4 linked regions of the Alligator mississippiensis genome follow. The protein of the gene in region 4 interacts with the protein of the main gene of each other region in a pairwise test. Links are inferred from orthologs where the notes say so. Each region holds a gene or a part of one and is shown on either strand. Other genes may lie near its edges. The genes, in order: MYO5B, MFAP1, SPG21 and TRIM54.

The links.
Region 1: the proteins of TRIM54 (region 4) and MYO5B interact in binary tests that used the Homo sapiens proteins (3 or more experiments, as listed by UniProt). The two-hybrid records come from large-scale screens. The link is inferred for Alligator mississippiensis from reciprocal best matches to the Homo sapiens genes TRIM54 and MYO5B.
Region 2: the proteins of TRIM54 (region 4) and MFAP1 interact in binary tests that used the Homo sapiens proteins (3 or more experiments, as listed by UniProt). The two-hybrid records come from large-scale screens. The link is inferred for Alligator mississippiensis from reciprocal best matches to the Homo sapiens genes TRIM54 and MFAP1.
Region 3: the proteins of TRIM54 (region 4) and SPG21 interact in binary tests that used the Homo sapiens proteins (3 or more experiments, as listed by UniProt). The two-hybrid records come from large-scale screens. The link is inferred for Alligator mississippiensis from reciprocal best matches to the Homo sapiens genes TRIM54 and SPG21.

The regions. Positions count from the first base shown.
Region 1 is NC_081826.1:288,437,913-288,445,384, reverse strand, and holds the start of MYO5B (unconventional myosin-Vb), read right to left. Parts: upstream 3,012-7,472; 5' UTR 2,930-3,011; coding exon 2,903-2,929; intron 2,698-2,902; exon of another isoform or gene 1,838-2,697; intron 1-1,837. UniProt on the Homo sapiens protein: May be involved in vesicular trafficking via its association with the CART complex. The CART complex is necessary for efficient transferrin receptor recycling but not for EGFR degradation.
Region 2 is NC_081834.1:741,847-749,557, forward strand, and holds the start of MFAP1 (microfibrillar-associated protein 1), read right to left. Parts: upstream 3,009-7,711; 5' UTR 2,894-3,008; coding exon 2,815-2,893; intron 2,706-2,814; coding exon 2,486-2,705; intron 1,090-2,485; coding exon 960-1,089; intron 578-959; coding exon 390-577; intron 1-389. Other genes in the region: furin, read left to right, coding at 7,057-7,236. UniProt on the Homo sapiens protein: Involved in pre-mRNA splicing as a component of the spliceosome.
Region 3 is NC_081834.1:6,522,830-6,530,700, forward strand, and holds the start of SPG21 (maspardin), read left to right. Parts: upstream 1-4,862; 5' UTR 4,863-4,968; intron 4,969-5,224; exon of another isoform or gene 5,225-5,500; intron 5,501-7,515; 5' UTR 7,516-7,593; intron 7,594-7,818; 5' UTR 7,819-7,844; coding exon 7,845-7,871. Other genes in the region: CLPX (ATP-dependent Clp protease ATP-binding subunit clpX-like, mitochondrial), read right to left, coding at 87-141. UniProt on the Homo sapiens protein: May play a role as a negative regulatory factor in CD4-dependent T-cell activation.
Region 4 is NC_081824.1:196,427-203,304, forward strand, and holds the start of TRIM54 (tripartite motif-containing protein 54), read right to left. Parts: upstream 3,001-6,878; 5' UTR 870-3,000; coding exon 702-869; intron 1-701. Other genes in the region: DNAJC5G (dnaJ homolog subfamily C member 5G), read right to left, coding at 3,917-4,005, 5,268-5,421, 5,592-5,805, 6,195-6,307. UniProt on the Homo sapiens protein: May bind and stabilize microtubules during myotubes formation.

The sequences.
Region 1 (7,472 bases), on a different chromosome or scaffold from region 4:
TTATTGTCCTCTGCTAATCGGGAATTTCTTACATCTCTTCCTTGCGGTCTGCTCAAGTTACTAAATCATGCTTTCAGGCATGTTCAAGGAGTGCAGTTACAACAGTCAACACATTTGAAAGAAAGAGAAAGAAAGTTCTCTCCAATTGGAGCTGTGACGCGCCGAAGCCGAAAGTGTCCATAGTCCTTCACCAGTTCAAGGGCTCAACTCTGAAAGTCCTTCCTTACAGGAAATAGTTTCACACAATCCAAAGGAAACTCGTGCGTGAACGTAGTTCATCGTACAAGACTCGGGCGATCATGGACCTATTTAGCACCGACAGGGCGATGACCAAAAAAAAAGTTCATAAACTATGCTACAACAGATTTCCATAAAGCTTGGGACAATTCTACGTGGCAATACCACACAGCCAGCCGTACAGTCAAATCATGGAAGTCAGAGAAAAAACAGTGAGGAAGACGTACATAGAAAGAAAGAGGTCAAGTACCTGCTCAGGGCAGGATCACTACTAAAAACTGCTAACATTCAGAGCCAAGTATGGGTGGGCAGACGGGCACAAATTCCTCGAAAGACATGATTCCAGACTGGTGACTGCTGAGCCACCACGCCGACTGGGATCAAAGCAAAACGCCAGCACTTCTACAACCTTCCAGCAAAAGCTATTTGTAGGTCAGCGGCATGCAGTTCTCCTATGCCTGTACCTCACATTATTTCAAATGAATCAGATGGAAAGACCCTAGGGAAATATTCTTATTAAAAAGGTATAAATAAAAGCCCATAAACAAAGGCAGGATTCTCCATCTAAAACCATTTTCATTCCGTCTCACGCAGGCAAGTCTCCTGTTGACGTAGCCTGAATGATTACAGTGAACTTGGTAACATCTATAAAGCTTGCTCTTTTTTTCTTGTAAGCCTGTCTATGCCCCTTGTTTAAAAAAAAAAAAAAAGCATCCATCCTCCAAAAAAACCACGCTAACTCAATGCAATTTGGCTCTGCTCACTTCTTTGGAAAAGAAACTTTGTCTGATGTGAGGACACACATTTCTCCTTGTCTGAAAGGACATTTATGGTAGGGAAGGATTTCTCGGAGCTCTCTAGAGCAGCATGCCCCTGCCCTTGGAGAGACAATCCTGTCCGTAGGAGTGCTCAGAGGTCCTCCATGCATACAAGACTTCCCTTTCTTATTTGAAATGGGAAGCAGCTTCCAACAAAGAACAAGCATAAAAATGCAAGAGAAAAATAGGACATATTTATTTCCTTAGCAGCTATATCCTTCCCAGTGCTCCAGCGGGGCTTGATGAACATGTGAAAGAGCCAGGACAGATCACACAGGAGCAAGTCCCGTTTCCCCTGCAACATGTGCTCTTGGGACACACCTGAGAAGTGTGCACGCCGATGTAGTCCCCACGCACTCGCAACGTAAAGAATGGTGTGCACCTCGGTGACCGGCAGGTATTACCATTGTAAGTACCTGCCACTACCCCCGTCCCGACCACAAGTCTTACTGATCTGCCTTCAGCCAATGCTACCTTTTCTCCCCCTGCCTCTCTCAGGCAGGCAGAAATTCTGCCCTCCTAGAACAGGAGCAGTTTCCTTCTCCTCCACTGCCCCAAAACCAAAGTCGGCAAAGCAAGGACTAAGATCAGACTGAGCTTAGGAAAAAAGTGACCTCCCTCTGTTCATTGCATCTTGCTTAGTTAGCAACTTCCCCATGTCAATTAACAGTGGAGAAGGAAAGGGGGGGGGGGGGAGAAAGAGATATTCTTTCCCCTGCCGACACTCGTTGGATCTCTAAAGATTACTTGTGTGCTGTTTTCAGCTGAGAGTTTTCTTCGCAAGTCACAGGCCTGCAGCGCGCACTGGACCCCAGGGAGTCTGCATAACCGGATCTGCTCAGCCGAGCGCCACACTTAACACTGATCAACAACCGCACACTTGCACGACAGCTTCCGAGTCCTACCCCCAGGCGCTCCCAGCACCTATGGCTCAGATTCCCAACCGGACGCTGAGGCAGAGGAACTTCACCAAAGGCTGGGAAGGAGGAGGAACAGGAGCGGAGGCAGAAACCAGGATAATACAGTTGGGTACGCTCTCCACTCCCGATCACACAGCCTCCCAGGGTGAAGCCGCACTTGCCTTGAACGTTTAGCAAACAAAAACACAAAGACCAAGCAATGCAAATAAAAAAAATCCAAAACAACAAAACACCGGACCAGGAATATTAAACGATATCCTTCCCTACGCTGTCTCCACTTAAAATCTGGGCTCTCGCACAAGGAGCGCGAGACAGAAGCACATCAGTGCCGTGACCGGCTGGGACACTAAGGAGAGCCGCCCTGAATGAGTTTGGTTTTTCTTTTACTCCCGTACCACAAGACACGCCGGGATCAGCGCAGCACAGCCGTGCTGCTGACTTTAACCCTTTTACTTGATGCTGCTTTGACACGGTTGATAAGTTTCTAGAACAGGGACAGATCCCGTTGTGGCTGTGTGCGGCTGGGACACCGCTAAGGACACCCCACGCTGCCCAGGGACAGCCCGCGCGCGGGGAGCGCAGCGTCTCGCTCGCCCGCCCGGGCTCGGGGCGGCCCGGCCCCCGCAACCATTCGCACGGTTTCCACCGAGGCGGGTCCTGAGGAAATCCTGGCAGTCGGACTACGACCACCGAGTCGGGGAGGGGGGCTGTCACCCGCGCAGGTGGGCTGCGGGCAGGGGACGGCGGTTGGCCCCGGGCTGGGGGCAGGGGAGCCGGCACCTAGAGCGGTTGCAAAGGTCGCAGGGAGGCGGGAGGCGGCCGGCTGTCCCCTCAGGGCCCGGCCTGCCCCGGCACGGCGGCCCCCGGGAGCCCGGGCAGGGCAGTGCAGGGCCGGGCGGGGAAGGGGCGGCGGCGGCAGAGACTCACCTGCGTGTAGAGCTCGCTCACCGACATGTCCGTCCGCCCGGCGCGGGGCGGGGCGGCGCGGGGCGGGGGTGGCGCGGGCGGTCAGGCGGGGCCCGCGGCTGGTGCTGGCGCCATGGCCCGGCCCGGCCCGGCTCCGCTCGCCGCACCCGGAGGCTTCTCGCCGCGACCTCCGCGAGGGATTTATAGCCGGGAGGAGGCGGAGGTGGAGGTGGAGGAAAGGCCCGCCCCGCCCCCAGGCGGGCCCCGCCTCACCCCGCCCCGCCCCCCGCCCTGCCTCAGTGGTCGGGCCTGTGAAATGGGTCCGCGCGCTTTCTTTTCTTTTCTTTTTTCCTTTTTTTTTTTTTTTTTGCTTTTTTTTTCCCGTGTTGCGCTGCGGCGCGTCTCTCGTGCCTTTTCCCAGCTCTTCTGTGACCCAGGACCGGGGAGGCGCTGGCGGCCAAGGGCCAGGGTCATTCCTCTGCTACGTACAAGAAACCGCGCGGGGCCTGTCGTGCGCCCGGACGGTGCCGGCGCTGCGTCCGGGCTGATCTCCAGCGCGGGTCGTTCCTCTGACTGGACGTGCAGTCGTAAAGGAGGACAGTCCTTGTTCTTTCAGTCCAGCGCCGTGGTTTTCACTCCTCTTTCTCTCCATTGGCAGACCCCTCAAGGCGTTTGAAGGGAATGTCAAATGCGGGTGCGGACCCTTTGACTCGTCAGTGGGGATCCACGCGCTTTTTGATCAGCGCTGTCTTCCGCGGACCCCTTAGAGATGGTCCGTGCACCCCGGGGGTGCCTGGACCACAGGCTGAAAACCACCGCTCTACATTAGTGTCAGCAACAAAGCAACTGCCTTCTTCAGATGGCAAGTGAAATATGTGTTCATGGGTAGAGCTCAAAGTACTTTACCCCGTTTTACAGATCAGGAAACTGAGGCAGATCTATCAAGCAGTTTGCCTAGAGTCACCCAGCAGGTCCAAGACAGAGCCATGAATATAACCCAGGTCTCCAGGATCCCAGTCCAACACTTTGCCCATTAGACAACACAGCTCTTCTTTCTTCTGAGACTCGTCATGTGTCACATAGTTAATGTGTGCAGCGTGTGCTGTGTCCGCAGAAGGAAGGTGCTATGGAAAGGTTAAAATAAAGGATTATTAATTGTTATTGTTAGGAATCACGTTAAGGTGTCTATAGCATGGGGGCAGCGACCGTGGTGGCAAGGAGCTGGCTCACTGGAGGTCGTGCTCTGCCACAATACTATTTCATGGTCTTTGGTGTGTTTCCTATAAATGACTGGAGATTATGCAGTTTGCTGCATGTCATCAGCATGCAGTGCTGTAGCTGAACAGAAACGCGGACCACGTCTGAACACAGTGAACAGTTCAGTTGCCAGCCTTTTCCCATAGCTCCTCATGCCCTGGCACCATGCAAATATGCTCTTTTTTTTGTCTTGCATCAACACAAAACCTCATTCTCTTTCCCTTCCCACAATTGCTGCCTCGCACCCGAGTGATACATGGGGGCCAGTCGCAGCAGATTTGATATTTGAGCTTGGAGGGGGCAACCTTCATCCACACCAGGGCAACCCCAAAGACAGCCTGCCTCTCCTACCGCCACGGCATTATGCCCTGAATCAGCAGGTGCAGCCTGCAGGCTGGATCCCCACTGCAAAGGGTCCAGCAGAGGTAGAGCTACATTCAGGGAAATGTGGGAAACAACACAGGGAAAAATCAATATGAGAACTGTCAATTTAAAGTGTTGTGAGAAGTTGATAGTCGGCGAATAAAGTTTAAGCACAGCATCGCTCTGTGACTAGCTCCAGGAACATCCTCTCTCAAACACCGTCCATTTGGAGCTTTCTTGTGCCCTCTTCTGGGTAGCCTCAGTCTCTGCAGCAATCTTTATTTAGTAGCAGTTTGCAAGAGATGTATTAGTGGCTCCTATGCAATTCCAACTTCAATCTTCTGTATGTCTCACTTCAAAGTCTAGGATTTAAAGAGACAGATCTGGCACCAGGTGACACTTGGGGCCACAGGTATGTTCCTAGGAAGGGAGAGGCTGTCTCCAAGGGGTTTAAGCCAGGAGAGGGCTGCTGTAAGTCCCATACAGGGGCTACAGAGGTGTCTGGTTGAAATAATAAATCATGACAACACGCAGCTGCCGTTCCATAACAGCGTGCCCTGTTCAGTGGCTCTTCTACCTCCCTGCAGGCTCTACAACTGTAGAGGACCTTGTGCCTGTTTTCTGCTGATAGGCCCCCAGCAGATATCCTACCACTTTGTGAGTGAATCTGGACCATAATAACAGCCTGAGCAGAGGGCTTGGTTGACATCAGCGTATCTATTCTCCATGGTTTTGCCATTAAAGACATGATACTGTTGGGTTTCTTAACCACTGCTGCACTAACTTGATTCCAATCTGGGAATTAACCTGGACAACGTATTTGATTCCTGTACTGTAATTTTTGTAAGACCTTTAAGATTACCATGGAAATCTAGGCAAATATCTATCCACATATGTGAAACTGCTGTAGCTAAATTGGAATAAATTGCAGGGGTACTGTTATGGGAAAGGGTTTCTAATGTAAGCCTAACTTGCTCTTGTTCTTTTATTCAGTTCTGTGATTCTATATCAAACATGGAAAAGGAATAGGAAATACCAATATCATTAGGAACAAAACTGAAAATGAGAGCTGGGCACAGATAACGGCACAGATGCAAAACACAGCAATTCACATGAAATATAGATTAGCGAATTTATTGCACTCATTTAAAACGTTAATTGCAAGTAAAACAAGACTCAGAAATTTGCTGGAAGTCCTGGCTTCTACAAAATTCTCTGGGAAAATTAAAATTTGTTTCCATTCTGGAAACAAACTTTTACACTTGATTTGCAGATGTCTGCTGAAAACATGGAGCCATCTCCCAAATGCTCGGGAAGAGCAAAGCAATGTCATTTTAGGACCATGCATTCAAGATACCAAGCGCTGTTGGCCCAATAGCTTGCATCCAATGTAAAGTCTGCCAAGAGCATCCTGACTCCTGGTCGAGTCCATTTGAGCCATTGGCTGCAGGTCACTGAGCACTAAGGTATAACCCCACTACCCCACTTGTTTCAACTGAATTTTGGCTACCTGTAGCTTCTCCAGTTTGTAGCTGTCCCTAAGTGTCTGCTTTTAAGCCATGTATCCCCACCCTTGTGAAACAGTTCTGCGCTTTCCTAGCCTTGGTGCTTGACTTGTGCTTCTGCCTCCTGCATTTCCACTTGACAACGATGAGAAATGTTACAGTGACAAGGTCCATACTGGAGGGTAAGCCTTGCAGTCTTCTAGCCAGCAACTAAAGTTGTCTTAGCTGACACTGTAAAGATACAAGTAAAACGTCTTTGAGGTATAGTAGCTGGTTTAGTAAGTGGAGCATCCTGCCACCGGCCAATTCAATCAGTGCTTCATAACTGACATTGGCTGTCTGCAGATTGCAAGTGGAGGTAAGTTGCTGAGGCTGGCGCTGACCTTCATAGTCCTAAATAACCATTTGAGAGAACACCTCTGTGGCTGAGCTATCCTGCTGCAGTGGGAGTTAATCAAAGCATGCTCCTAGAGCCCTTTCATAGCAATGCACCTGTCTCTCACCTGCATCCGTTCCACAACAGCCTGGATTGGCTGGTGCTCTGGATATGCTGCAGGGCTTTTCTTCAAGGTCACAGGTGAAGAGGAAAAGGATGTATTTCAGTGTGCGTGGGACAGTGATGAACTTATTTGCATTATGACTGAATTGGGTTTTTTTGGCTACACTTTATTGGATTTTTGTGGCAGGTCTTTCAAGTAACAGTCTGAGCTGTTCAGGTGTCTTTTTTTGGTTATACTATTCTAAAGAAAATGGATTTTTTAAAATCATCAGTACCTGATAGAAGATACTGGAACTGCACGATTGCTGCACAACTTGCTAGGAAGCACATTTCATAACATGACCCTGACTCTCAAACAATATTGACTGTGAGGCAGAGAGCAGCCTGATAAACATAATAATTTAATTAAGTTTTTCTGGGTGCAACAGAGATAGCTCTGCTGTGCATGTCAATGAATGTCTCTGAATTCTAAATCTGCATGTTCCCCCGAATTAAGCGTTTGTCAGAGTTTCATTCTGGCAGCGATATGTGTGCATATTATAATGCCACTGACATCATAAGACCTGGAAGTGAATATCAAAGATGATGTTAGGATGTGTCCCACTCCTGCCTGCCTCTCGTGCTCATTCTTGCAGAGTTCTAGTTCTGCCCTAGAATTGAGGCAAACTGAAGATGGGACAAGGCCTGAAAAAGTCCTCTAAGATTTTTAAGTGGGGCCAGTACATGGTGCATGTGGCCTACAGGAAATTAAATAGCATCACTCTTGGTAGCTGGCCCAGAGGTGCAGGCAACTCTGCTACAGTGCCCATATCACAGCCCAGTCGGCCAGGGGGTCCCTGTCTGGGTCTGGCAGGTGTGCAGCCATGGGGCAGCAGGTCCAAGGGGGCGGATGCTGTTGCAGGTAGCACCAGGTCACAGCCAGGCAGCAGCCCCCACTGCCAGACTACTGCAGTGGGTAGAGGGTGCA
Region 2 (7,711 bases), on a different chromosome or scaffold from region 4:
TGGCGGTGAGGTCACCCCTCTGGGTTGGCTCTAGGCAGACCTGCTTTGTTACTTCCCCACCCAGGCTGTTCAGGATTGGGGGGGCAGGGGAGGAAGGGGGTGATAGTAGCTGATGAGCTGGCTGCAGCATGGCAAGGCTGTCTGGAGCCTTACTGCTCCATGCTCATCCCCTGGGGACCAGAGCTGCAACATGCCAGGCCTGGCACCCAACCTGGGGCTGGAACCCAAGGGGCCATTAGTTGGTTCTCCAGCTCAGGCACCTGTTGCCACTGCTCTGTGGTAGGAAGAGCCACTGCTTCCTCACGCAGAGGTTGAACAGTGGCCCAGGCTGGCGTTCTGCCCTCCACAAGCTGCCAGAGCCTCCCCGGGCAGGCAGCTGTGGCACATACTTGCGGATAAAGACGGGCTTGAGGCGCGGCTCCATCTCGTCCTCGCTGTCTGTGTACTCCTCGTACTCAGACTCCGACTCCGACTCCTCCCCAGACCGGCCCTCATCCTCCAGCTCCATCACCTCCATCTCCTCGTTCTTCCTCTCCTGGGCTCGCTGGCGCATCATCCCGCGGCGACGCTCAATCTCCTGACAGAGCCCACCCCAGACCAAGGTGTCAGGGCCACCACCCTTCCACCTCCTCTGTTCTTCTGCCTCCAGAGCTTCCCCACCCCAAGCAGGGACCAGTGGTCAAGTCCCTTCCAGCTCTGTCACATCACAGACAAAGTTTGTGGCATGTGTTGGACTAACAAAAGCTTCTGTCCTGCTGCCCCCTCCCAGCTGCAGTGAGGACTGGAAGGAGCCTGTCGCCCAAAAGGTCAGTCCGAGCCGCCTACACAGTGACACCCAGCCTCCGCGGCCTTGTCCAGTTCTGCCAGCAGCAGCCTCTGTCCCACCCGGCTGGGAGGCCCGGAGGCACCAGTACCTCCGGCAGCACACTTGCAACCAGCTGCTGCGCCCCTGCACGTACCTCATCGTCGATCTCCTCCTCCTCCTCCTCGCTGCTGTCCTCCCGCTCTATGCGCCACGCCTCTCCCTCCACCTCCGAGTCGCTTTCTCCGACCACTTCTGGCTCCACAATCTTGCGGTGCCGCGCCAGCCTGTGGACAGGCCCCAGACCCAGCACCTCAGTCACCTTGTACCAACGCCCCACAAACCTGCCCCAAGCCTCACCCCAACCTTCCTAATCTACTGTTGTGACTCCACCGGTTACCAGGAGGATGGATCTGGGCCCCGCTCTTCCTTAGTGCCACAGATCAGGCACCTGCATGCGAATCTTACGCAACTAAGACACCACGTGTTTCAATACAGACAAGTGCAGGGTGCTGCACTTGGGCAGTAGTAACCGGCAGCACACTTATAAGATGGGAAACTCCCTTCTTGAGAGCACAGAGGCAGAAAGGGATCTTGGAGTCATCGTTGACTCCAAGATGAACATGGGCCGACAATGCAAGGTCACGGTCAGCAGCGCTAACATGCATCCACAGGTGCATCTCAAGCAGGTCCAAGGAGGTGATCCTCCTCATCTACGTGACACTGATCAGGCCGCAGTTGGAGTACTGTGTCCAGTTCTGGGTGCCGCACATCAGAAGGGATGTGGCCAGCATGGAGAGGGTCCAGAGGAGGCCACCAGCATGATCAGGGGGCAGCAGGGCAGACCCTACGAGGAGAGGCGACGGGACCTGAACCTGTTCAGCCTCTGCAAGAGAAGGCTGAGGGGGGACCTGGTGACTGTCTATAAACTCACTAGGGGGGACCAGAAGGGTTTGGGGGAGACCTTGTTTCCCCTAGCGCCCCCCGGGATAACAAGGAATAACGGCCACGAGTTGTTGGAGAGTAGGTTTAGATTAGACGTCCGTAGGAACTACTTCACAGTCAGGGCGGCTAGGATCTGGAACCGACTTCCAAGGGAAGTGGTGCTGGCTCCTACCCTGGGGGGCTTTAAGAAGCAGCTTGATGTCCACCTGGCTGGGGTCACTTGAGCCCAGCTTCCCTCCTGCCCAGGCAGGGGTCGGACCTGAAGATCTACAAGGTCCCTTCCGACCCGAGTTTTACGAGTCTATGAAGCGTGACAGCCCTGAGTGCCATCAGGCAACGCAGCCTGTGCTGAAGCACAAGCCGCAGCCGACCCCTCGACAGCTTGGGCACTCCCTCGCAAGGCAGCAGGAACCCATTTTTTGTGAACCCCGTTGAGCACCGAGCCGCCGGCCTGCCCGGGAGGAGGCCGCCCCTCCCCTGTGCCACGAGCACAGCCTCCGCGGGGAGCCTGCTCCTCGCTTGCTGAGCAACGCCGCGGCAGCCCGTGGCCTCGCGCAGCACCTCGCTCCTGGGACTTCGGTCAAATAGAAACGCGCTCGTGACGGGCGGCTCTCTCGCCGTAGAAGCACGGCCGGGGGCTGGGGGCGATGGGGGGGCCGCACTGTTACCGAGCGCTTCTGGCGACTCGCTGCCCCAGACGCTCGGCCCGGCTCCCGGGGACCTCGGGGCAGGGCTCACCGCTCCTCCACGTCCTCGCTGATGCGGTTCTGCAGGCGCCGCAGCCGGGGGTCGCTGGCGAAGTCGTCCTCCTGCTCCTCGGGCTCCACCTCCTGCTCCTTCGCCTTCTTGATGAACTGGAACTCCTCGTCCTCCTCGTCCGACGACTCCATGGGCGCGTAGTCCGGCCGCTTGCCCGACACGTAGCGCTTCACCTTCACCTTCTCCATCGAGATCTCGCCTGCGGGCAGGGGCCGGGTGAGCGCCGGGCCCGGGGCCTGGGCCTGCCCCGGCCTCCCTCCTCTCACCCCCGCCCCCCGGCCCGGCCCGCGATACCGCCCCCCCCTCACCCTTCTCGTTGCGGACGGGCACGGCGCCCGCCGTGGACTGGATCGGCGGCTGCTTCATCAGGGCGCTGGGGACCGACATGGCGGCGGCGGCTGCTCCGGGCCCGGCCGGGACCCACCGACAGCGAGACCGAGACCGAGACCCGCTCCCGTCCGCCGGAACCGGAAGCTGGGGACAGCGGAGAAGCCAAGGCGGAAGTCAACTCCGACGGCACTTGAACCCTCACCCCGGAACCGGAAGAGGGCAGCGGTCCCCTCCCACCTGACCGGAAGTGGGGGCTCTGGTCAAAGGAGGGGATAGAGTTTGCGGAAGTGGGAGAGAGTGGCCTGGTGGGGTCGGTCCCGGGGCTGGGGTGGTGCTTGTGCCAAGGCAGGTGGGCGGCTTCTCCCGCCCCGCCCCGCCCCGCGAGCGGCCCTGCCCGTGCCCTGCCCCGTGCCCTGGGCCAGGCGGGCGTAGCCTCTGGCCGCCCCCGGCCCGCAGCGGGTGACCCAGTTTCGGGCAGGCGAGGAGGTTTCTGTGCAAGGCACCAGGTGTCAACCGCAGCCGGTTGCGCGCAAGGCAGGAAACCAGGCCGGGCGCTTCCCGACAGTGCGGGGGAGGAGCCTGGCACCGGGGCACGGGCCGGGGCTGCGTCATGGGCCGCGAGCCCCGTCCCGCTCCTGCCCTTCTTGGAAGAGAGGAAGAGGCCTCTGCTTCCCGGCAGGGCAGGGGTGGCGGTCCTGCCCCGCGCCCGCAGGACGCTGGAAGGGCCCCGCCGTGTCACGGCAGCCGGCGGCAGAAACGCGCGCCAAGTCCCTGCTAGAGCGCGCGTGGGCCTGTCCTCAGTGTGGACAGGGCACTGCTGGGGACGCTCGCAGCACCGGGCCTGGTCGGCACTGTGGAGCAAGCACGGGCTGCTGGGCCCCGGCACTGCTGGGGAAGCCCGCAGCGTTGGGCCTGCCTGGCGCTGCCAGCGCCGCCTTGGCCCCGGCGTGAGCGGCCTTGTCGCTCGGGGTTCCCGGGCAGAGCGGGCGCCGGGCGCAGCAGGGGCGGGCGAGCGAGCCGGCGATGGCGGACGTGCAGGAGCCGACGCCGAGGCTCGCGTGGCCCCTGCGAGCCCGGGGCCTGGGCCCGGCACGCGGAGCAGCTGCGGGGCTGGGGCTGGGGCAGGGGCAGGTGCGCGGCGCCGTCGCAGCCTGGCGCGCGGCCAGGGCCCTGCATGCCTGCCCGGGGAGATCCTGTTTCACAGGCAGCTGCCGGCACTTGCGGCTCGTCCTTTGTGAGCGCGTCCCTGCTGGGGCGGGAGAGCGGTGCCGGGGGCTGCCCTCGGCACGGGGGGAGCAGGGCCCTGGTGCCAGGGCCAGGGCCAGGGCCACCTGGAGGGGAGCCTGGCAGGCGGGCAGCGCCTGGGCGTATGGCCTGCCGTGGGGTCCACGTACCCGCGAGGCAAAGCTCCCCGGGGGCAGGGGCTTGGCTCACGGAGGCCTCGAGGGCAAGTCGCTGGTGGCAGGGTCTGGCGTGGCCCGGCTCGGCCACAAGAAACCCCGCTGTGGAGCAGGCCCCCGGGAAGGGAGGGAGCGCGGAGCCCGCTGCCGCTCCCGCGCTAATTGGCCGTGGCGGCTGGGCGCGCCCTGCTGCGCTCCTGGCGCGGCTCCGAGCAAACCTGCGCGTTGCACAACGCAGCCGTGCTGCGCTGCTTCAGGAGCAAGACGCGCTCCTGCCTGCAGGGCCTGGGCAGAGCCGGTCCTGCAGGTCGCAGCCTGAGCAGGGCGTGAGCTGGCTTAGCTGCGGGGCCACGGCCAAGGCTGCTGTGGGCTCCCCCGGCAGTGCCCGCCAGGATCGAGTGCTGCGAGCTCCTGTGTGTGCCGGCTGGTGCCAGCACCGAGCGCGTGGGGGTGCGGGCACGCGGGGATGCCATCAGCTAGCTGTTTCCCAATCTCTGGCTGCAGAGGAGCGCTGCTCGGGGGCACCTGGTCCTGGCGCTCGCAGCCCCTGTTGCTCCCACCCATCGAGGTACGGGTCCGGCGCGGGTGCCCCAGTTCGTCCCGCTGTGGGAAGGTGGCGGCGCGGCTGCAAGGAGAGACCTGCGCCACGTGACCCCGCAGGTGAAACGATTAGACCCGCTTGGAAACCGGGCACCAGCACGTCCTGTGCTGTGCTGTGCTGTCCCGTCCCGGCAGAGCCTGGCAGCAGGCGGGGGCTGTGCTCCAGCTGGCTCCTGCCCTGGGAGCCTCGGCCTTTGCCCGGGCCCAAGAGGGGCAGCCCCGGGCGGCGCTGCGCTCTGCTCCGGGCAGGCCGGGTGGCTGCGGCCCGAGCCAAGGTGGGAATCGGGCCTTCGGGTGCCACCGGCCCAGGAGTGGCGGGCAGGTCCCTCGGGTGCGCCCCGCAGCAGGTGCCCGCGCCTCTGCCCTGCTGGGCGGGAGGCCGGGGCGCTGGGCATTGCCGCTCCGCGAGCGGCGGCCACGGCCCGTCGGCTGCAGCGGGGCCCCCGGTAGCGACCCCGGTTCAGCCTGGCGGGGGCCGGGCCGGGCCCTTGCCCTTCCCCGCTCGGCCGGGCCGAGCGGGACAAGGCGGCCTGGTGGCGGCCCTGGGCGCGCGGCGGGCAGCGGGCAGCGCCACGTGTGCCCGGGGCCCGGCTCGGCTCGGCTCCCGCCGCTGCCCTTGGCCTGGCCGGGCCCGCGGCTCCTCCCCGCCGCCGGCGCCGCCCCGCGGGAGGAGCGCCCGGGCCGGGCAGGAGGCGGCATCCGGCGGCGCCGGGGCAGGCCGGGCCGGGCCGGGCCGGGCGGGGCGGTGCTGACAGCCGGGTCGTGCCCGGCCCCGTCCCCGTCCCCCGCGCTGGGCCGGGCCGGGCGGGGCGGTGCCGCCCAGCATAAAGGGGCCGCGGCCGCGCACGGGCACCGAGCCGGGCCGGGGAGCGGAGCGGAGGTGAGCGCCGGGGCCGGGCCGGGCCGAGGCGAGGCGGCGGGAGGCGGCCGTGCTGGTGCGCGGGCCCCGGGACAGGCTGGGCCGGGGAGCTGCGGGCGGGCGGTGACAGCGTGTGTCGGGCCCGTGCCCGGGTCCGCCCGGCCCGCTCTGCCGCCGCGCCCGCGGAGGGGGCGAGGGCCCTGCGGACCGGCGCTGCCCGGGGCCCCGGCCGGCCAGGCGCGCCGCGCCGCGCCGCGCCCGGGACGAGGGGGAGGCGGGCGGGCGGGCGGGCGGTGAGTCACCGGGTGTCACCGCGGCGCCGTCTCGGCCGGCCGGCCGGCCGGGCGGGGGGGGCCGGGGCCGGGCCGCACGTCCTCTTGCCGGGTGCTCGGCGCGGGCGCGGGGCTGGAGACCCCCGTGCGGCCGCACCAGGGCTCTGCGGCCCGGCCTCCCCGGGGTAGCCGGAGCGCCGTGCCCAGAGCCGGGCGGGAGGCCTGCAAGCCCCCGGAGGGTCTGCGAGTGCCACGGCTTCCACCAGCGGCTGTCTGGAGGCCCGAGCCGGAGCCAGCCTGAGCTGCTGCGCTGCCCCCCTCCGCGGGCGGGGCCGGGGCCGGGGGTGCTGTGGGGTGGTGTGTGCTGGGCTGGGGGGCACGCAGATGCACCCGCACCGGTCGCCCTTGCCCTGGGGCCGCGGGGCTGCGCTCCCATTGCTGCGGGGGTTGCGACGTGTCGGTCCCTGCTCCCCAGCCGCGGGGCTGGCCCAGGTGACTTCCCGGCTCCGGCCACATCCCTGCTCTGTTTGTACACGCGCGTGTCAGCACACATTGGCCAACAGGCAGGGTAAACAGCGCGCTGTGCTCCAGCACCCGGGCCTCTCGCCAGCCACCGCCTCCACCTCGCGCTCCCAAGCCCGGCAGCAGCTGCCTGGGTCAGCGCCTGCAGAGGAGGCTGCCGGGGGCCCTGCTGCGCGGGGGGCGCGGAGGTGGCGCAGATCGAGCGCTCCCTCTGCCTGCGGAGACCCCCACGGGCCTGGCTTGGGCTGACCTGCGCCTGCATGCTCCTGGCAGCGCCATTGGTCCACCACGCGGCAGGGAGCGGGGAGAGGCAGCCCACGTGCTCCCGGGCGTGTCTAACCACTACTCCTCCTGCCCCCAGGTCGTGGTGCCAAGGTCTGTCCCTGCCATCCGGCTGCTGCCGTCTTTGCCGCTGGGCCCGGCTGCCGCCCGGACGTGAGCCCCATGATCCCTCGGACCGCGGGGAGGCCGGCCAGGCAGAGCAGGCACCTGGGCATGCAGCGGCTGTGAGCAGAAGCGCCGTCGCTGGACCCCCTGCTCCCGGCGCTCGGCCACCCCGGCGCGCTCATGGATCTGTGGCCCCGCGTGCTGCTCCTGCTCTGGACACTGGTGACGGCCCTGGTGCTGCTGGCCCAGGAGGTGCTCGTGCAGCGCGTCTACACCAACACCTGGGCAGTGCGGGTGCCGGCAGGGCCGCGAGAGGCTGACAGGCTGGCCAGGAAGCATGGATTCCTCAACCTGGGGCCGGTGAGTCTCCTCCCAGCCCGCCGGGGGCCCTGCCTTCTCCCCTCACAGCCTGGGCGCTCTGCTGCCTCTGCCCGGCCCCGGGGCCCCTGCGGGAGCTGCTGTCCCTGACGGCAAGGCCAGGCGTGTCTGCCGAGGCCAGGGGCGGGCACCTGGGTCACCCGTTCTGCGCCCCCGCCGTGTGTGCTATTGACTTGTGGCCTGATGGGCATGGGGTGAGCGGGGCCTGTGCCGTGTCGCCCAGGGCCCTGGCAGGGGCTGTCTGCCCTGGGGGACCAGGTGGCTTGGGAGTGGGGGTGCACGGGTCCAGTCTGCCCCGGGCAGGGGTCTCTGGCGGGGGAAGCCTGCGTGGGAGCGAGGAGGGAGCGGTGTGCGGGGCATGGCTCTGGTGCTGCCTCCTGCGGTGGGCACGCACAGCTCGCCCGGCGGGGTGGGGGCCGCACGGCGGGTGCTGAGCCCAGAGCGCGGAGCCTGCTGG
Region 3 (7,871 bases), on a different chromosome or scaffold from region 4:
ATCCCCGAACAAAACCCAATTCTGATTTCTTAATGTTTCGTTCGGGTTGCGGTCGACTCGGTCGAACTTTGCAAGGCCCAACCTACCTGACAGCGGCCCTTCGAACCACGGGAAGCGCCGGACTAAGGGTCCTACCAACATTGTGCAACGTGAAAAGCTTTTGGCTGGAGCAGGACTGGCCACAAGAACCAGAAACGGGACCAGCGCGGGAGTCGGCTTCTTTGTGCAAGGTTTAGCTGAGATTTCGCAGCCCCTGATACACGGTGCAGGCCCTTAAGTTAAGAACCACATGCTCCAAAAAAGGCTCTCCCGATGCCTGAAGAGGGGAGTGGGGGTTGTGCCTGGAAGCTTACAAAGAATAATTTTGCAACTGTTTTTCAGTAATAATAATAATAATAATAATATTTAAGTGCAGAGATTTTTAAACCGACCCCCTCCATGAGGCCCATAATAACAATAATAACGTGCAGAGGTGTTTAAAGCGACCCCCCACGAGGCCCCCGCCCGGGGGAAGATGGCGGAGGGGCCGCAGCCCTGGGGGGGGCGAGGCCGAGCCCCGCGGGAGGCGCTGAGCGGCCGCGGGGCGGTTACCTCTGTGCGCCGAGGGCAGCGAGGAGCCGAGCAGCCGCGCGGCAGCGGCGCAGGTGCTACAGCCGGACATGGCGCCGGCGGCCCGCGGCCCCGCCGCACTAGGCCCGTCCAGTAAACACCTCCCGTCGCCTCGCCCAGCCCTCTGTGGCGTCACGAACCTCACGTCCCGTCCCCTCAGAACTACAACTCCCGGCAGGCTCCGCGCGGGGCCCCGCGCCCGCCGGCCGCTTGGCCCTGCGCGCGAAGCCTTCTGGGGCGCGTAGGCGCCGTGGCAGGGAGAGGATAGGCGCGGGGCATGGCGGGCCACCGGGATCGCTGCATGCCGGGAGTTGTGGGCCGCTGGACGGGAGCGCGCGAGGGTCAAACGTGTGCGCGGGGAGAAGCGCTGATAGTGGTCGCGAGAGGTGACTCAGCGCTTGCAGCCTCCACGTGGCCGAGCGGGCACAGCGCTGAGTCAGCCCCAAGCTGTGCGTGCGCTGAGCCCCGCACTTGGTTTGCTGCTGGGTGACAAAGAACTTCCTCGTGTTAGCTTTAGGCGTACAACCTACTAGTTTTATTGTGCGACCCCAAGTTTTTGTGTTGTGAGAATAAATATTAAGTCCCTATTTCATTTCCCTTCACCGTTTAGGTTTTTTTTTTTACGGGTTTCCCTCGCCAACCACGATTTTGAGTACCCACACTTAATATTATATTATATATATATATATATATATATATATATATATATATATACACACACCATTTTGGCTAGCACAGTATTTCAAGTAACCACGGTTTTTCGTGGCTGTGGCTGCCATTTTTCCCATGCGCTTTTTGTCTTGCCAACCAGGGGGAACTTTCAGGAACCTGACCCCAGCGGTTGGCGAGGGAAACCTGTACACTTTTATCATGTCCCCCCTTTTCTAAACTGAATAGGCCTGGCCTCTTTACTCTCTTCTCATCCAGAAGCCCCTCCATACCACTGATCATCCTGATTATAGGCAACACGCAAGGGGGCACAGGTGGGCATGTGCCCCCCGACCCTGAGATTGACCACTGCCAGCTTCTGTCATTCATGATCCTGATTGCCAAACTTCCCTGGACCCTCTCCAGTTCTATATTCTTTCTGAGATGTGGGGACCAGAACTGGTCAGTGTTCAGTTGATTCACTTCTTCAACATACATAATAACCATGACTTTCCCAGCCTGGTGAATCTGCAGCCTGGACACTAATGGTTTCTTATGACAAAATTAATTTGTGTCATGCACTTGGTCCAATAGAAGATCTCTTCCACAAGAATCCTTACCCCACAGCAGTGACCATTGACTGTCAGTGCAAGCTACTAGTGACTGCTTGAGGCACTGCAGACCACGGTTGAGGGAAAAAATTGGTACAAAATGAAGCTGCAAAGGAAGCCAGCTCCTGCCAAGCTTGGGAAAAAAAGTTAAAAAATAACAAAATCACCGCAACCCAGTGTTAACAACGGCAGCTGATGAAGTGAGCTCAGTCCCACAAAAGCTCAGGCTACACATCTCTGATTGAGTTACTCCTTAGCTCTATTCTGCCTTCTGCCTAACACTAGAACAGAACATTTCTGAGAAGAGATCCAAAATCAAAACATAGCAGTTCCCTTCAGAAACACCATTACAACCCTATTGCCATCATTCTGCTGGCTTGAACAACTTAACTGTGGTGGCTTGGTTCATTTTTTTGTTGTGTAACGTTCTTCTACAGTTGTTTGTTCTGTATTTGATTGAAAAAAAATATTTTGAATTTTGAATGACATGGCATACATAATCCCCCTTTCTGGATGCTTCCCTGAGATATAAGCAAGAGATCTAATAGTGCTAACATGTAATATCCAAATAGAAGACTTGCAATCAAGAAAAGGCAGAGATCTTAGCTTCAGCCTTATTTATTCTACCTAAACAGTTCAACATGGATGTGTCAATGACCTGGTAACTCTACTAGAGCGATTTTCAAGCTGAAAGCTTATATGACCTTTTAGAGAGGTAAAATCACCCTTCCTGATCCTCCTCACTACTCTCCTGTGCATGGATCGAAGAATACAAAGTTCTTTGGGTAAATGTGATATATTTTAATAGACAAACTAAATAGTTGTAAAAATTGTTCCCTGCAAGCTTTCAGGCACAAACACCTCTCTTCAGGCATAAGGAAAGTCTGCTGGTGTTGTGTGCTCCTAGGTGTCTTAGAAAAGATATGTCATTGTTGAGTCTGGCTTCTTTAAACCTGTCAGCTATTACATTATAGCAGATGCTTACATTGAGTTGCTTGTCCACTATAACCCTTAAAATCTTAGAGCCTTTTCAGGGATGTTGCATTGAAGGATACATCTCCCTATTTCGTAGCTATGACCATTTTCCTTGACATATAACAGGGTATTACGGAATATATTTTTTACACAGGCCCAGCTCACCAAACAGTGCAGAGGTCCTCAGTAGAAAAGCTACCAGTGTGATGTCTGAAGAGAGAATTTGTATGAAATGCATCATATAAGCCAGGACCCCAATGCAGTGACCATTTGCACATGTGAATAGCATATATACAATGAGCAGTACTGTTGAAGTCAGTAGGACAACTGTTGTGTGAAAAGTTCAGCAAGTGTATCAGCGTTCAAGAGATCGCAGACTTCAGTTTTATCATACTGCATTTGTGATTTTTTCCCCCTGGTAGGTGACAGTAACAGCTCATTACTTTTCCTTTCCATACACAGAACAAGAACCCGAACAAAACAAACCCCTTCAAGAAACAGTTTTCAAAACTTGTATTAGCAATAAGCTATTTTGGTTTACAAACTTAGATCCAAATATTCCCTTTAGGGGCATGGGTAAGTTCAAAATGATATGTGCATGGAGCAGGGAAAAGGCGACATAACACTATTTTATTACTCTTTTCAGTCCTGTAATCTCCAAAGTATGATCTCATTTTATTTGAGGCTTTCTACATGTGTAGCCATGGCTGAGGGAAGAGTTGTTCTCTGTAGACACCTCTTTTCTTGACATTAAATACTTTTCAACAGTATTCAACTGTGTTTTTTTTTAAAACAGAGAGCAGTTCTCCAGATAGAGCCATCTGGTGGGTTTATGCCACAACAGCTGCACATACACTTGCTCTATAAAATTAGTCAATGACATTTTTTTTCCCTGGTCCTGGCCATTCCTGGTGGAGAATGTAAATCCACTGTCCACTTTCCAAGCACAACTGCCTCCAAATTAAACCAGTCTGCCATCTCAGTTCTGTAGTTTTGAACTATGCAGCCATCCAATATCAGATAAGGTGACTGGAGCCAGCTCACACCAGGACAGATACGGCCTATGGACCAGCCAAAATTCACTGAAAAACATCAAGTTCTACTCATCACGATCTAAACCCTAATGGCCAGCTTGCAAACGAGAAAAACATAACTTTCATCAGCTTCTTTTGTAAAAATTGAACCAACAAACCCGTGGCATCAAGCGGGCAGATACCTCCATTGACAATACTAGAGCTGCAAGTCTGCACCGGAGAGCAGAGTTTGGCCCTTGAATTTTAGCACAGCGGTTCTCCACCTTTTCAGACTCGAGATCCCCCTCCAGAGGCTCAAAGCCTCCCACAGAAAATGCCAGCTCTTAGCTTTCACTCGTTTGACTACAGAAAAACAAGAGCCATTGCCCTGTTGCAAAGAATCAAGAAACCCCGCAACTGGTCAGGATGGTTAACGCTGGATCCCCGCGTGCAAACAGCATTTCTCTCGTGAATCGTGACCTAGCAGCGCTAACGGTCTGTGGCGCCCCGAGGCACCCCGGGAAGGATCTCAAGGCACCCGACGGTGAGCCGCCGTTCGACCACGTGCGTCCCGCTGTCGCCCCCCAGCAATGAACTTTAGCCAGGGGGTAAAATGCCGCTGGAAAGGGGCAGGCTTTCAAGGACGCTCTCTGGAGGCCTCACGCTGCTTGGCGGTCTCCCACAACCCCAGCTCTCCGAGTCCTGTTAGCACTACGAAGACCAGACTTCATTTTCTTTAAAAAAACCCAACAGCCTGAGCATACTGAGAAACCCTGGGCACACCCTGAAGGCTCAGACGCCAGGAAAAGAGAGGAAGGAGCCCCACACCACTCTCGTGATGTACCTTCATGATGCTCCACCTGCAACAGCCACACCTGCGCATGCGCCTCGCCCCAGTCCCGTGCGCATGCGCACTCTCCCCCCTCCTGGGCTGTGCCTCAGTAACAATGGCGGCCCGGCGCCTCGCCCCGCCCCTGCGCGTGGTCACGTGGCCGGCGCGTGGCTCCGCGGGAAGGCGGTACCCGGAAGTCGCGGCTGGAGGCGCAGGCAGCGCGGTCCGGAGCGGAGCGCTCCTCCCCTCCCCCCACTCCCTCCTCCGTGAGGGGGAGCCGGTACGGCGGCATGGGGGTTGGGCAAGGTGGGGGATGGGCATGGGCTGGCGGGGCACTGGGCCCGGGGCTGGGCCGAGGGCTGCCTAGGCGCTGTCTCCCGTCTGTGGGGACGCGGGCACAGGCTGGGCAGGGGTAGCGTGGGGGGTCTGTGCTGCCCGCGCGCCCGTGTAATTTCTGTCGTGGCTTGTGGGACCTAGACAAAGAGCCAGTGTTTTCCTTAAATTGGTTTTTAAAACTTGTTTGGTTTTTTTTAAAGACGTGCGTGGCACCATCCTGGACAGCTCCCTGCGTTATGTTCCCTGCCTTTGAATGAGCTGGGAAATCGGATAACCAGCAAAGTGTCGTGGTTAAGCTTTCATGGTGATGGTTATTCACCTAGGAGGCTTTTAACGTTGCGTTTCTGCGGAGACTTGCCTGCGCCGCCGCCGCTGCGCAGGAGCCTCGCAGGAATTGAATTTCCTATCGCCGACGTTGTTTTGTAGCGGTGCACAGAGACGAATAGGAAGGAGCGCGAGCACGGAGCAAAATAGCTGTAAGATGGGAGCACGAGTCAAGGGGCAGTGGTTTGCGGTGTGTGGTAGTTGCCGTCTGGGTTTGGTTCGTATTAGGTAGCTCTCTGCTTCAGACAAACCACAGCTAATGCCAATTAGGGTTTTTGGTAACGATCTTGGTAGGAGCCCAAGGTTTAAAGGTGTGGAGACTGTTTCTTTTGAGTCTTATAAGGGGCCCCTGCAGGTTGGTGTTCAGGTACATTGGTGAGACCATGAGGATGGTAAAGAAAAATGCTTGTTCCAGTCCTGTTCTCTAGAATAACTCCGTCTCTAAGGTTGCCAATTAATGCCTTGCACTTAAATTAATGGCACTAATACAACCACTGGCAGCAAGAGAAGGGAGAGCGGAGAAGAGCTGGAATTGGCTCTCAATCCTGTGATGAATGAAACCATTTCTTTAGCGCGCAGTCCTGTCATCGAGCTAAACGGATGCTTCCTTACATTTCTCTAAAGAATTTGCTTATGTGCTCGCACAGTGGGACCCAGATCCTGACTTGGGCTTCTGGCCACAGCTATATAATAAATTAAAATACAGTGTGAAGCATACACTGCTCTTGCATTAAGGTGTCCGTGTGTGTTTTGCTTGCTTTCGCAATTTCTGCAGCATATTATTGCAGCGTTGTTTCCAAAAATGTTTGTTTTTTGCGTAGTGGCTAATCCAGACTTATGCAGGGGATTTAGTAGAACAAATTGCTCTCTTCTTTTTGCCTAATGACCAGCTGTCCTCCCGTTCCAGTAATATTGTGAGCCTGCTTCACTCGCCAGTCTGTTGGCTGGAGGCGGTGTTTGCTCTCCACTAACTTTTATGCGCTGCCAGGCTAGCACAAGTGGTAAAATACTTGACGCAAGCAGGAACTTATCCAAAATTGAAATACCAGTCAACCCAGTAGGGTGAGATTCTCACCCAATCTGGAAATATTTGTGATGTGGTGAAAATGAAATACTTTTTGCAGTTTGGAAAATAGTAGGTAAGAGGCATGTACTTCATGTTTCTAGTAAGTGTTTCTTCACTGTTTGTTCCATCTGTTTATAAACTAGCAAACTGGGATTGAATTCAAAAGAGCTGTATCTTAATTGCTTTTTTTGTATAGTGGTGGGAACAGATGAGGTGAATTTCCTTCATTTAGGGTCTTGTCTACAGAGAGAAATTGAGTGGAATATATGACAATTCTGATTAGAAATGAGAGTCAGTACCCATTTAATTATATCTGAATATTTGATTAAAAGAGCAAACACCTTATTTTCTTATGCTCTGTACACTGTGAAATTAAATGAATCTCTGGGGCAGAATTTCCCTTTCAAGCAACAGGTTACAAGCAGTCAGAATATAGCCCCAGTTTTAAGAATTATCCAGTGTTATTTGGTATACAAATAAAAGTGCTTAATCTATCAGTGCCATGGCGTTTCACTAGGCTAGTCTTGATTTCATTATTGCAAACAAATTGTGTCCTATATAGAACATGAAACCTCAATATATGGGTAATTTTGTTAATGCTTCTTTGTCTGGGGGGAATTGGCTGTAGTGGGAATAGTCCATCTACAATAGCTATTTCAGAATAAAGCTCCGTGTGTGGACACTTCTGGAATAAACTCTGTTTTAATTTTAGAATTATTACTTTGGCTGGGAAAACAGTTATTTTTCTGGAATAATTTTTTTTTTGGAATAAGTACACTAATTATGTGGAACAACTGTTGGATGTTGCTGTTTTGGTCGGCTTCTCTGTGAAGAGATGCCCTGAAGCTTTGACTGTTCTGTAGAACAGGTATCGAGTAATATGGAGGTAGTGTTGAAGCTTGCTTTCAAGAAATGCTTATGTTAGTTACAGTTGAATTAGAGCATGTGTCCTATATACTTGAATAATTGGAGGGCAAGGCATGAAATACGTGGGCATTTATAGCCCCTTTTCTGAACTGTTTAAAGTTGAATAGAAGCAATGATAAAAATGTCCACTTTTTAAAACAAGTTAAACCCTGAAATACTATCTTTCCCTTTCAGGAGCTGCTCCATTGGAATGGTCTGTAAGGAAAAGCTGCCTTTTTATCCCCGAAAGCTCCATCAGTTCATAATTAGAGGGTTAGTATATTAAAACATTCTAGTGATTGTATCTTCTGAATACCTTTTAAGTAGCTTCTAATTAAAACTAAGGATAACCAAACTTGACATGCATTAGAAACCAGCTGATAAGAGGTAAAAGCAAATTTCATCATGAAAGGACTCTTTGTATATACAAGGCTTCAGTGTAGTGGCTTAGTGCGAACCTGCATTCTTTGCCTAAAAGATGCCATATCTTTGTTTCAGGTTTACCTAAGTTTCATCTAAACATCATGGGAGAGATTAAAGTCTCTCCTGAC
Region 4 (6,878 bases):
CACAGTGCCCTGCTGCCACCAGCTTGCGAGCAAGGGAGCCAGGAGCTCTGCCTGCTCCAGCCACGGCCACAGGCCACAGCATGGACGGGCCCAGCAGTGCCCCAGCCTTCCCATGGATCCCCAGCCTGGCCTGCGTGTGGGGGGCAGCACCAGGGCCTGGAGCTGCTTGGGGCCATGGGCTGGGAGCCAGCCTGGCCTATAAATATCTAGCTGGTAAACACTGAGGAAGGGCAGGAGGAGCCCGAGCACAGAGGCCAGGACAAAGGGAGGCGGGCTCAGGCAGCACAGCACAGCCTGGCAGGACAGGCCTGGACTCCCAGCCTGGGCCCAGGCCCCCAGAACCCCTTGTTCCCTGGCGACCCCCAGACCCCAGCCCCTCACCTGAGAGAGCTGCCAGCTAGGGGCCAGCCTCCCAGTAATGGGGGCGGGGGGGCTACAAGCACAGTTCTGCTGCAGCGCCCACACACCCTGCAGACAGCCCCTCGGGGACGTGGCTGTGCCTCAGGCCACAGGGACCCGATATGTCCCCACCCCAATCCCAGCCCAGAGCCACAGGGGTGACACAGCATGGCCAGGTGTGACACCGAGTCAGCGCCGGGGGGGTGGGCCAGGCCCAGCCGTGGGGTCCACGTGTCCCCAACCCACACTGCCCCAGGCTCCCAGCAGGGCCATTGCCCTTGTAGCCCCGCCGGCGGGCACACCTGAAAGATGTCGTTGGCACACTTGCGGCACAGGTTGTGCTGGCAGGGCAGGATCACCACAGGCTTGGTGAACATCTCCAGGCAGATGGGACAGATGAGCTGCTTCTCCAGCGTGTCCATGCTCTGCCCGTCCCCCAGCATCGGCTTGAAGCCCACCGCAAAGTTCATCCCCACGGTTGCGTTGCCTGCCCCACTGCACCTCGGCCCCACTACCACCACTGGGCTGCCTGGCCTCGGCTGTCTGCCCCACTACTGCTGTCGGCCTGTCCTGCCGCCCCAGTACCTCAGTATGTCTGCCCTGCCCTTTCTGTCTGCCCCGGTACTGCCGCCGGCCTGTCCTGCCGTCCGGTTGCCCCAGTACCTCTCTGTCTGCCCTGTCCTGTCTGCCCCACTAGCTCCACCGGCAGTTCCTGCTCTCAGCTCGCTTGCCCCGTGCTCGGCCTGCCTGCTCTCTCCGTCCGTCCCGGAGCTGCCCCCAGCGCGTCTGGGGCTCCGCTGCCCGTCCCTGGCCTCTGCCCATCCCCGCAAGGGTGAGAGCAGGGGCTAATTTTAGCTGAGCTTTGTGCTGTGCAGCATCCCTGAAATTCCAGCTCCATTTTTATCCCTGGCTGCGGCTGCAGCTGTCAGTAGCGTCGAGTGACACTGAGTCACACACTCCCGGAGGGAGAGGGGCATGGGGCAGGCAGGCGCCTGTGCTGGGAGAGCCCATGGGACCCCCTACTTGCCCCCCAGCCCAGGGAAGAAGGGTGCTGAGGGCCTTACTAGCAGAGGCTGAGGGCTCCGCCAGGGGCAAGGGGGAATGTGGGGAAGGCCTGGGGGGGTGTCGTGGCCATCAGGGGATAGCCCAGGCCCCAACCCCATGCTCCTGGGTCGCGCTGCAACCTCTGCCACCAGGACAGAGCTACAGAGCTGGGACAAAGGCCCCAGCCCTATGTGCCCATGGAACACCACTGCTCTTGCCCCCAGCAGACAGCCACAGATGTGGCCCAGGGATGCAGGCCCCAGCCCACAGCCCAGCAAGGTCCACAGGCAGTGAGGGATAGCATGGCCATGGGAGCAAGGGGTACTGCTCTCTCCCTGGGGCCTGGGCTTGCTCTAAACAGGGAGCTCCAGCCAGCACACCGTGCTAGGCACATCCCAGGAGCTAGCATGCGATGCCTGGGGACACCACACCTGGGGACATGCCCAGACACCAGGCCACAGTCCTGCAATCACCCTGGGCCTCAGCAAGTGCCCCCTGTTTGGGCCTGGGCTTTGGGAGACAGGGAGCCAGTACATAACTTGGTCAGAGCCAGCACTGCCAGTCTGAAATCTAGCACAGGGTCCTCCCCCAGCACCAGGCCCTGGCCCCCGCACACCTGAGCCCCTCCAGGGAGCTGGGTGCAAGGAGGATGGCAGCTGGGAGAAGCTGGGGCTGAGTAAGGCCCCCTGGCCGCTGCAGCCACCCAGCAAACAGCAGTCCCTAAGCTTCTGTAAACCTGTGAAGCAGACACCAGGGACCTCCCCCATCTTTGCTGGAACCCGCTCGCTAGACCCTTGTTTCTGCTGGGGGCACAGCCCAGCCTAGTGCCCCCCCCCGGCCCCCATCCTGGCAGGGAGCCTCCAGCACTATATTTAGGTAGTGAGGCAGGGCCTGGGCTCCAGTGGTGGGTACAGCCCGTGCTGGGCGCAAGCCCGAGTGGCAGGACACTACCTGCCTTGAACAATTGCAGGTGGCACCAGGCCCAGCCCAGGCACCGAGCCCACAGGCAAATTTAGGTCCAAGCTCCAAGCTGCAGCACAGGTCTCTGCTGTGGGAAGCTTCCCACCAGTGCTGGCAGGGGCAGCCCCCACCCCCTACCCTAGTGTGGCGCAGCCACCTCGCACACAGCCCAGCCCATGGGCCCAGACACTTGCTCCCAGCACTGGCAGCACCACTGGGGGAGGCCAGAGCTGGGGCCTGGTGCCAGAGCCCACCCTAGCCATGATAAGTTCCCCACCCCCTGCCATGCTGTGAGGGGAAAGAGCAGCCAAGGAAGAAGAGGGCAGCCTGCAGCTCCACAGTTGACAGGACAAGGGCCACATCCTCTGGGAACCCTCTGTCTCCCCACTGAGTTAGGGAAGCACAGGGACCCACCAAGAGATAGCCATAGCTGCAGTGATGGGCCGCGATGCCTGATGCCCATGACTAAGACAGGGTGTGGGGCACAGGCTGGGTGAGTGGCAGCATGAGCAGCAGGGCTGAAGCAGACAACAGGACCCAGCACCAAGTGCAAGCAGCCCCCAGAGCAGGTGCAATGGACACGACCTGGGCTGAGGGCACTGGAGACCTGCTGACAGGGGGGCCAGGACACAGAGGCTGCAGCACGGGCAGGAGAAGCAGGGGGTACCCAGCCCCAGGACAAACAGATACAGTGAGGCAGATGCCCTCCGCTCATCCTTTAATGGTGTCTATAAAATCCATACAAAAGGTTCCTCGACCCTGCTGCATTGGGCCCAGGTGAGACCAAAGGGCCTGGGTGGCGGCTTAGAGCCAGGCAGCGCTGGCCAAGCCGCAGGGCCAAACCAGGGCGCAGGAAAGGGGGTGCTACATTGAAGGGGCTGTGCTCCCGCCCCCGGGAGCAGCTTTTGGCACCCAGCATGCAGGGAGGAGCCCTGCTGGGACACCGAGCCCTGCTGCTGCCGGCCGGGGGGTCAGGTACAGTGCTACCGGTCTCACGCATGCCCAGGCGGAGTACGGCCCAGCCGGCCTCCACACACGTGCTTCTCAGGCAGGCTGTGTAAGCCAGGCCCCACCCTGGAGAACATGGCACCCACAGGCCTGGGGACATGGCCAAAGGGGGGACTATAAGGGGAGTTGGTGTGGGGGGGGGTGCTGGTGAGTGGGGGCCAGGCTGGCACAGGGTGGGGCTGCGGCCAGGGTCTCTGGTTGGGCCTTGAGGGCGACCCCCTGCCGTGGGGCTCAGTGTCACTGCTGGTGAAGGAAGCATGGGGAGCTGCCGCAGTACCGGGGGCTCCGGGCTACTATGCAGCCCCCACAACCACTAGGTGTGACCAGGCAGCAGGGGGCCCTGGGGAGCCAGGCTGGCGCTGGCCCCTTTAACCTGAGATTCTTGCTGAGGCAAGGCTGCCGGGCCAGTGCTGCCAGCGCAGCGGGACAGGGATGCCCAAGCAGCAACAACTGGGGGGGAGCCCCGCGCTGAGTCCTGGTGGAGGCGCCGGGACATGGACTAGCCTCATTTTTCTGTTTGGGCTTTGGCGCTTGGTGGGGTCTCTGCTCTGGTAGCTGCTGGTGGGGGCTGTGCCACGATAGGTCTGCGGGGCTCTGCGGGGCAAAAGCAGAGGGTCAGAGACTGTGAGGGGCACAGGCCTCACCCCTCCCAAGGCCAACAGAAGCCAATCCTACATTTCTACCTCTGCCATGGGACTCCCAACCCCAGACCAAGCCAGGCCTAGTCTATGCTTAGAGGCACTGAAGCCAAAGGGGCAGCTGTCCTCGGCTGCCAGAACCTGGGACAAGCCCAGAGGCACCAGCCCAGCACCAGGACAGACCCGGGTGTCAAAAACAGTCACTGGTGCTGGCCCAGATCTGGGGGCACCACCTGAGCAGCCAGGCCTGGGGCACGCTGCATAGCCCGAGGATGGCGGCAGCCACAAGCAGGGCCCTGCATGAGGTGCAGGCCAGCACTGGGGCCTGCCGCAGGCCACCAGTCTTCCCCCCCATGCTCCAGTGGGGCCTTGCTCACCCGCAAGCACCCTCAGCTCCTTCCTGCTGGCCAGCTGGGCTCTGAGGGCAGCAAGTGTGAGCTGGCTGTGCCCAGCGCCACCAGGCCAAGGCCTGCAAGGAGCTGTGGTCACCCCACCCTGGTGCTGAGGCAGCCTGTGCCTAGTTGCTAGCCCGCTGCATGCAGCAGGGAGCACCGCACCATGCCCAGGGCTGGGGGCAGGCAGCCTGGTCCCTTCCCTAGCCACTGGTCCCAATATGAGCAGCCGCCACCTGACCAGGGAGAAAGGTGCTGGGGGCTGCACCATACACAGCACAGCCCCCACCCCCTAGCAGCAGTACCCAGCCAAGCCCTCCCCGCAGGGAGGCGGGGCTCGCCCTACTGGCCACTCCCGGCACTACAGCCTGGCACCAGGCCTGCTCACCTCGGTGCTGGCTCCCAGGGTGGAGGAGGCCTGTTGCCTCTGAGCCGGGGGTGGAGGCTCGGGGACAAGAGCATGCCCTGCTGCTAGGGGAGGGGAAGCTGAGCAGGTCCCACAGGCCCTGCCCAGAGCCTGCTCCAGCCCCGGCTGCCCCACAGTACAGGAGGCACTCGGGGAAAGGCTAGGGAAGCCTGGCACTGCCCTTCCACGACGCCTTGGCTGAGGAGGGGGCCCAGTCCTCAGGGCAGCCAGTGACACCCCGACACGAGGAGCAGTCAACTCCCCGTCCCCCCCAGCTGGGCCCCTGGCGACAGCATCCGGGCTTCCCCACGGGGGCAACAGGGCTCCGTCTCCCCGTCAACCTGGGCCAGAACCCGACAGCTCCAAGACCCCAGCAGCCTCGCCTGCTGCGGGAGAGCAGTGGTGCCCGCGGTGCCTCACCTTCATCCTCAGCGCGGATCTGGGCCTCCAGGTCCTCAGGGTTGACGTACTTGTAGGCATCGTCATCCTCGGGCGGGCGGCAGCGCCCGAAGCAGAAGCAGCAGCAACAGCAGCAGCAGCAGCAAGTGAGGATGCCGCAGCACGCAGCCAGGGCCTGCGCGGGAGCCCCCGGTGAGATTCCCAGGCCAGCCCCAGCGCCCTGGGCTGCAGAGCCTGTCCCTCCCGACACGGGGCCACGGCAGAAACCCTCCTGCGGGCACGGCCCGGCCCGGCACTGCCCCCAGCCCCAGCAGGCCCCTGGGCGGGCGGCACTGCCGGACTCACCTTGAACCACCACTTGGACATGAGGAAGTAGTACTTGACGCTCTCCTCGCCAAACTGCTCGGCCACGTAGAGCCCCATGGAGCCGTACTCGTCGTAGACGCGCCGCTTGTTCTCGTCGCTCAGCGTCGTGTGCGCGTTGTTGATCTCCTTGAACTTCTCGACCGCCTCGGGGTCGTCGGGGTTCTTATCCGGGTGGTACTTCAGCGCCAGCTTCCTGCCGGGCCACGGGGCAGGCGGGGGCTGAGGGGCCGCACGAGGCAGCCGCCCAGCCCAGCCCACGTGGCCCTGAGACACCCCCCGAGCCTGCGCCCTGGGGAGCCGCGCACTCGGCCAGCGCAGCCCTTCGCAGGGGCCGGAGCTGCCCTGCTGCCCCGCGTCGGGCTGGGTCAGGCCCTGGTGCGGCACAGGCAGAGCGGGGCAGCGCCCGGGGCCGAGTACAGTTTCCTGTGCCCCTGCCCCCCCCGCCAGGCTGGGGCCACCCCCGCTCCCGGCGCAGGGACACGCGTGTTGCGGTGCGGTGCGGTGCTCTGCTCCCAGCCCGGGCCGGCCCGGCCCCACCCGCGGACGCGGAACTCCCCGGCCCCGGCTCCGGCGCCGCCCTACCTGTAAGCCTTCTTCACCTCGTCGGCCGAGGCGCCGCGCGGCAGCCCCAGGACGCGGTACAGGCTCTCCCCGGCCCGGGACATCTTGCGCTGCGGCCGCCCGGGCTCCGCCATCCTGCCTGCGGGCGGGCGGGCGGGCGGGGGTCAGCGGCCGGGCCCGGCACCAGGTGCCCCCGGATTTGGCCGCACGCGGCGGCGCAGGCGCCAGGTAAGAGCCTTAGCGGCTTTGCGCCGCGCCCGCCCCGCCTCGCCCGTCGCGTCACGGCCCGGCCCGGCCCGGCCCCACCGCCGCCGCGTTCTGCGGAGCCGCCCAGCCCGGCTCCAGGCCGGGAGCACAGCCACCCCGGAGCCCACCGGCCCCAGCCCCCGCCCAGCCCCAACGCACCGGACGGAGCGACCCAGACCCAGCGCTGCCCCCGGCCCCGGCCCGCCCCGCGCTCACCCGTGCCGCGTCCGCCGCCACTTCCGACCTGGCCGCCCGCACCTTGTACCGCGCACGCGCCACCCCGCCCCGCCCCGCCGGCGCCTGCGCGCTGCGCCCGCCCCGCCCCGCCCCGCCGTGAGCCACAGCCAGGCCCCGCCCCGCCCCGCCCCGCCCCCCGGGAAGCAGCGCGGAGCCGGCGGAGCGGTGACGCTTTATTGGTACAAAACGGCGGCGGCGGCGAGAGGCGCGGAGCCCCGCAGC